Linked DNA regions of Drosophila melanogaster. The protein of the gene in region 1 interacts with the protein of each later gene in a pairwise test. Each region holds a gene or a part of one and is shown in the gene's direction. Other genes may lie near its edges.

Region 1 (3,277 bases):
TAATCAGCGGCACGTACTCGCACGTTTTTTGCGTCAAAGTCTTTAGTGCGGTCTTTAGCTGAATTCTGTTCGCCGATATTGGAGCTCTTTTTGTTGCCATCGCTGCTATTGGACGGTACGCTTTTGACCAGGTCGGGCGTATCGGCTGCCGTTTGGCTAAACAGCCCACGTTTAAACATGGCTCAGAGCGTGCTAATCAAGTGGCTACGAAAACAAAATTACGCGACCGACTGAGCAAAAGCCAGCTTTGACTTTGTCTCGTTTTTCATATATTTGTGGTTACCTTTCCAGGGGGTTCTTCGATTTTTGAAAGAGGTTTGTAACACTGAAAAATATACCCACAAGCTTAAGGTATATATGAAGAAAATTTAAACGATTAGATGTCATTTTTGGTCATAATTAAAATCGAGTTATTTTTACAACTTCAGTATTATCAATGATATTGATCATTGAAGCTTCGAAAAGGGTATTTAGACATTGGCTGAAAAATATTTATTTTCCTCCTCTTTTTTTTGATTGACTTTGGTTTTTATGTTATTTGGTCGCGTTGCGTTGAAGTTGGTTTTGGCTTTGGACTCCGGTGAAGCCAGGGGATTTGGGGCTAGGGCTGGGCCGTCGTTTGGGTACGCTTTGATGGCTTCTAGGTGAAGGTCATTGTGTGACTGAAATGTTAATTTGACTGACTGTCGTACTTTTATGCCGGAGTGCCTGGGCTATTTCAGTTGTATCTTTTTAATGGCACTTGCTAAGGTTCTATACACCTAGAAGTGGGTATTCATGTCGGCTTAAAAACCACTAAACAAAACTCAAAACCAACTTTGATTTGTTGCGCCGCTGGTATGCGGCGATTTTTAAATGACTGACATTTGCTAGCAAGTCGACATAATATACAAAAGCATCAGAAAAAGTTTGAAATTTTTTAAAATATACATTAATTATAGAATTGAAGTTGAGGATATTAAAATAATTAAAAACATATTTGTGGTTATTATTTCAGTTGCCAGCAGAGTTTTTATATTATATAAAGAATTTTCTGAAACGTTTTAGAAATGACTAAAAACGATCCGTGTAACAGCTTACTTTGATTTCAATGGCGCAGTCTTAGACTCCAATGATGGCGATGCAAATGAGCGACATATTTGCAGACAAGTCCACCAGCAATTCGGTGAATGGGCGGGCGTCTGCTTCCCCGGAGGATAATGAGCTGCAGCCCCCGTGAATCGAGTCTGGTGGCCCATCTAATGGTGTTGTTCGCATGGTGGTTAGATGGTTGAATGCTGCAGCTACAGCAGCAACGATTCAGCACCGTTTTGCTGATGCGGCACACTCCAATGCCATAAAAGGGCATTAGCCTCGTGAGTAGATTGCATGTTTTTACCACAGGTTTTCGTGGATGGGCTCCCGTCTTTTGGGGTGGCAAAGTGAGGTTGTACTGGCAGCTGAGTGCGCGCGCTTTGGAAAATTGAATAAAGTGCCGGAGGAGCCAACGAAGGATTGAGGCAACGAAGCGGAGTAAAGTGCTCGATGCTGGCAGCCAAGTCATTTAAGGGTTGCCGGCAGCACTCACATCGGCCTACAAGGAAAGATGAAATACAGTCGCTTTGCTAAGTTTATAATCCCTTATTTAGAGTACATTTTCTGACTACCCAGCTAACTAACACAACTCTAGTAACTGACAGATGATTGGCATGGCCGAGAATTTTCTCAACAGACATAGCAATTATTTGGAATTAATCATAGACTTATTTGCATGACTGTTGATCCGCAAGTGGCAACGTGTCGTATGCGCAATGCTTGCTCTTGCTGGGTCTGCGATGATTCAGAGGGGACTCTAGTACCGCCCAACGCATAAATATGAATGAGGAAATCGAAGCAGCTTGCCACTTGGGCTTAGCCCAGACTGGATTTTCCAGAATTCCATTGAACTTATTACTGACCGACACGATCCATATAAAAACGAAAGAAATTGCATCTGGCTATGCAGTTGCCGGCGGTGCATTGATCAGCATGATGAGCCGCATCATATCATTGCTTCTCCTATTCGGAATCATTTGTGCTGCTCTAATTGCCGGCCATCCGCACGACCTTATTGAAGATCCGGAAGGTACCAATGATGCTTTGGAGGAATCTGGCAGTGGATACAACAGTGCCGAAGAGTTCATGAATGCAATGGACGAGCTGATCAGACGCTGGCAGGAGAACGATGCAGCTCATGAGAACTCAACTGACTATCCAAGTCTTGATGACGATGAGACGACTTTGGATTTTATGGATATTACCACCGAACCGGCTACTTAATATGGAATTATTTAGTAGTGCTGTAATGCTAAGTCATGCTATCCTATTGTCTGTAAATAATCTAGTTCTTCAATAATAATTATTAAGGGAAATAAAAGAAAGTTTTTAGAAATTTTAAAATGAAATCAATCAAGAGAGAATCAAGAGATCTTCATTTTTTGATAATGAATGTTGCCTACTCCGCAATTTCGATTTTAAGTACGCATTAAATACTAGTCATAGATTGAATTTAATAGCTCGTTTAGTATATCAATTAAGCTTGTGGTAAGCTGTGTTGCTGTTAAGCTGGAATTTCCCGCACTCACCTCTGTCTAAAAGTATACATATCACCTTTAAACCAACCACTTAGAACTGCTGATAACCCAGGGCAAGGCTATAAAAGCCCAGCTCAAGAGCCGACTGACATTCAGTCAACTGTAGCCAGAGCTAATCGAAAGAAAAATGCAATCCATTCTCCGACTGCTGGTGCTGTTTGGATTAATCTATACCGCGATCGGTGCATCGGGTATATTTCAGAATATAAACCTCGGTGGCGAAGGAGGAAGAACACGATCTTCAGGTGGCAACTTGGACTGGAGCGATAGTGTTCACAGTTCTGATGACGATAGGACTCTGAAGCTACTGGAATCGTTGGATAACAGTGGCAATGATAGAAATAATTGGGGCAACGATGCGGTGAGGAATTCTGGATTCGATACCGATAGATCCGCAGGAGACTCAAAGGAAGACGCTCGCGGATTCCAGTTTATACACATAGGATAAATGTTACGATGTTAAAATACTCAATTTAAATAAAAGAATTTTTAAAAGATTAAGAAATAAGCATTATAAAATGCTTTAGATTTTATTACTTAACAAACGTATTTATTATTTTATGAACTGATCTTATCTAACAAATCCAATGGGCCTTGACCCATTTCGAAATCAGTTCCGCCTGTTTCATCATTGAGAATTTTTCACTTTTACTGTCGATTTAAAA
Region 2 (4,321 bases), on another chromosome or scaffold:
AATCAATTACGAAGTCATTAAGCCGGAGGCAATAACTTTGTCAACAAAGCTGACGGTCTGAAATGGAAACCCACAAGCGAGGCACCAACGAGCCGCCAACCGTGAACCGTGATCCGTCACGAAAGCGAAAGCCACTTTGCAAATGCGATCCCCGTCTGGCCGAGATCGAGGTGGCTTCCACGTCCACTTGGCTCGAATGCCCTGCACCGACTGCGTTTTGTGAATGAAGAATTTCGGACTCCGAACCGGAATCGGAATCGGAATCGGTTTTTTTTTGGGTGGGGGGGGGAGGTTCGTTTATGTTGCCAACAAACAATCAACAAAATCGCAACGTTGGCAAGGAGTCGCCTGTTATGCTGGCTCAGGCTCTCCTTACAGTTCGGTTCTTTGTTCCATTTCCTGCTCACACCCACACGTCAGACAACCATCCACCGAAGCACACTGAAAGAAATTGGAGTGATCTAGGAAAAATTAAAAAAGGTAATGTCCCTTACAAATGAGCTATTATACTCGATTAGTAAATGTATCCTGTTAATAATTGGTTCGTTTTTTATATGAAAAACTTTTAAAAACTTAGGTTTATTGTAATATTTATTTTTGCGAGTTGTTGAAAAACTCCCAAAATTAAAATATTGTAGAATATAGAACGCCAAAATTTGGCTTATACACAATCGCGCCTGCTTCTATGTTTGCAATCTAAGTACCAATTTCGTTTCCGGTCAGAGTGCACTTTATTTTGCCCAATGCATCCGTCGATCCACCTGCCAACCCCGGATCAACCCACTCCTCCCCCAAAGACACGTGCAATTCCGGTGGGTCTGGCAAGTTTTCGACTGCGACTCAATGAACCCGCACGAACTTTTGTTTTCATTTGCGAATCACCCACCGAACGCCTCTTAATCGAAAGGATTACGGCATTTTTGGCAAATATGCAAATCCGGCCATGAATGAATGAATAGTAGCCAAAAAAAAGAAGCAGGAAAAAGGCTGGCAGAGTGGTGAGAAGAGGGGAGGAGGAGGAAGGAGAAATGCGTACAAGTCGCTCAATGTCAGCAAAATGTTAGATGCAAATTCAGTTGTTGCCGGTATTAGTATGAGTATGAGTATCTGTATCTGCGGATGGGCAACCGGATGGGATGGCAAGTGAAAAACTTTCACATTTGTGACAATTTCAAATTCATCAAAGACATGCAAAGTTCGGTGGAAAAGTTCCGTGCGCGGTGGCAATCAAAGGAAAGTAACGAACATAGCAAAATGGAGCCGATTCGAACGGTGGCGGCAAACACAAACACAAAATGGCATAAAACCGTAAACAAAAAAAGCAAAACCAAATCAGGCCCACTTCAAGGTCACATCCGCATACATTCGTATGCCTGTTAGCCAAAGTATTTATACGATAGTATCCGATTTTCCGATTGCCAATAAAATGTACTTAAAACAAAGCTGAAAGCCCCATTCCAGTTGGATGGGCATTAATCACTGCCACCAGTCAATACTCGGTGCTTATGGCCCGACTTTGAAGACTCCCCCAACGATTGGACAGGACTCCCGTTTCCTCTGACACTGCTGCAATTCGAAATCAATTGCAATCGAAGTGCCATAAATATTGGACTTAGTCGTAACCGATCACAGAACGGTACCATAGCAAAACTGTCAGACGAAAACTTATTTTAATTAGAAATGCAGTCGGTACGAAATTACTGTGACTGGAACGGCCTGGACTTTATCTATTGACTTTAAATTAAATAGATACTTACATACATATTTTAAATGAAGTCAGCCCAACGTAAATGTATTGCAAAAGGAATCCCCTCAAAGACGTTTTAGACAAGGAACTTTGGGTATTTGCCTAAGTACAAATTAAGCCACCAATTTGATCAAAGTTCACTTTGATGTTTTTAATATCAGCGCAATAGCGATCTAAAGCAGAATCCTCCAAAGTGATGGATTGCATTCGGTACTCGATCATAGCTGAGCAATTTTTCCTTAAAACATTACAATTTTGTATAAATATAATTTAATAAGAATTTTAGTCTTTTAATCAAAGTAAGACTACAAAAATTTAACCTGTTGGTGAAGAATTCTATTTGTCATTATATTTTTATTTATAAATTTAATTTAATTTATTAATATTTAACTTTAATATAATTGTTTTTTATTTAAAATTCGATATTTTCAAATTATATATTTGAAATTGAAATCGCTAGAAATTGAATTGATATGGGAGGAAATTAAGTCTACATATCTCAATGCCCCTATAATTAGGAAAGATTTATTTTGACAGGACTGACATCATTAGTAATAACTTTATTCCAAATAAAATGAATCCCATATTTTTATATTTTTTATGTATACGCACTTATTTTTAATACTTGTATATACAAATTTTATATGAATTTTATAACATTTACGTATACGTACTAATTGCTATCATATTCGAACGACAAACATTCCCGGAGAAATCTTAACATATAGATGTCATTAGGAAACTACAAAAAACCGCTTTCTAAAACTGTATTTTTAGATATAACAAGTAAAAAATCGGAAAAATTTACCACGGGCTACTAGCTATTTTGTAGCTATTCTCGACTGAGCGTTGCCATCCCTGGTCACGACCAGTGTGACCATCGAACTGGTACGACTTCGGCAATTTTCGTAGCTGTCAAGTGACGTGACGTATGTATGGTGCTGTCGTGGCGTTCGCTTCCAGAGAGAAAGAAAGTCGCAGGTCGCCGAGTTGGATAGCCGTAGAGTTCCGCCTATTCCATTGATTACTAAATAAAAACCACCTCATAACTTGATCAAGATGTCCCGTCAACTGTTCGCCATTTGCCTGATTGCCGCCGTTTGTGCGTCCGGCGTCTACGGTAGCTGCAAGGCCACCGTGAGCTCTTTCAGCACCCAGGATGCCACGATTCTGACCCAGCTGGCCCATGTGGGCGAGTTCACGCTGCAGTGCAGCGGAGCCGCTCCCGCCAGCCTGTTCGCCGAGTTCCCCTGCGGCAAGGTGGTGCCGGTGGCCAAGGTGGGCGACAACAAGTACCAGGTGAGCCAGTAGTAGCCCCGTCAAGTTTTGTGCAAAGGCTAATCTCTGTTCTGCACTAGGTGAGCTGGGTGGAGGATATCAAGCAGGGCAGCAGCGGCAATGTTCAGGTGCGTCTCTTCGACGAGGATGGCTATGCCAATGTGCGCAAGGCCCAGCGGGATGGCGACAAGGTTTCATCGGTGAAGTCGCTGCTCGACATTTCCGTGCCCACCAAGGGTGCCTACAAGGGTCCCTGGATCAAGGCTGAGCTTTTGGCCGCCTTCTTGGTCGGCGGATTCGCATACTTCGCCTTCACCACCAAGGGCAAGGTGCAGTCCTAAGTAGAGGATGCCTTCGTCATCGAGATTTTGAATGAAATTCATTCGCACTAAAGTCATGTACCATCAAATTGCCGGGTCCCGGAGATTTTTCCACATTTTGTACACCTAAGCATCGGATCACCCGCCGCTCCAAAATAAACTGATTGAAAGACCAACCGAAGGAACCTAGTTGAGATTAATTTAATTTTAATTTAGAGATAACTTGTACGAATACGCTTAAACCTGGCCCGTGGAGGGCGCTCCATTCATGGTCGCCTCCTCGTCGGAGGAGATGTCTATCATGCTCTCCACACGCGACGGCGACATCACATACACAAAGTGCTCCGTGGAGCCCTCGGGGCCGACTGGCGGCGGGGGTATGACCACGGAGCCGTCCTGCGGCGGCGGTGGCGGAGTATCTATGCTGCAGTACTTGAGATTCCCAGCTCCTCCTCCGCCTGAATCATCCGGCGGTGGCGCTCCACCGTTGCAATCAAAGTTCTCCAGCTCTAGCTCCAAATCACTGACGATTCGCATGCAACGCATCTTGGCGAGCGACTGGAATTTCATGGGCATAGCTCGCACCTGCCGCGCCAGACTCAAGAAGAAAAGAGTGTTTGCGTCAAGTTCTCTGTTGGCCTGTAGCACGGCAGAGACGTCCCAATCGCTCGGAAAACGCGGATCGCAAATCTTACGCGTTTTGGCGGGCGACGGCTGTTGTTGCTGTTGAATTTGTGGCATTTGCATTGACTGCTGCTGCTGCGTTTGTACGGAATTCCCTCCGGAGCAACTTAGGTTGATGGCCGTGGTTTGCGGCGAAGGTTGTACCCTTCGCACCTTGGAGGCTGGTGGCGCTGGCGGCGGCGGCGGAGGAGTGGGATTACCCATGGGTAAGCTCGGGCAGCTGCCGTTCAAACGATTGGCGTTCTGCACTTGGTTGGCCAGGTTCTGGAACAATCCCAAAGGTGCTCCAGCT

The links.
Region 2: the proteins of CG16978 (region 1) and Tapdelta interact in a two-hybrid assay, tested with the Drosophila melanogaster proteins (one large-scale study listed by BioGRID).

The regions. Positions count from the first base shown.
Region 1 is NT_033779.5:13,142,328-13,145,604, reverse strand, and holds CG16978 (uncharacterized protein), read left to right. Parts: upstream 1-1,982; 5' UTR 1,983-2,007; coding exon 2,008-2,298; 3' UTR 2,299-2,391; downstream 2,392-3,277. Other genes in the region: CG9928 (uncharacterized protein), read left to right, coding at 2,740-3,060.
Region 2 is NT_033778.4:11,369,498-11,373,818, reverse strand, and holds Tapdelta (Translocon-associated protein delta), read left to right. Parts: upstream 1-2,483; 5' UTR 2,484-2,806; coding exon 2,807-3,046; intron 3,047-3,105; coding exon 3,106-3,366; 3' UTR 3,367-3,519; downstream 3,520-4,321. Other genes in the region: CG13204 (uncharacterized protein), read right to left, coding at 3,583-4,321.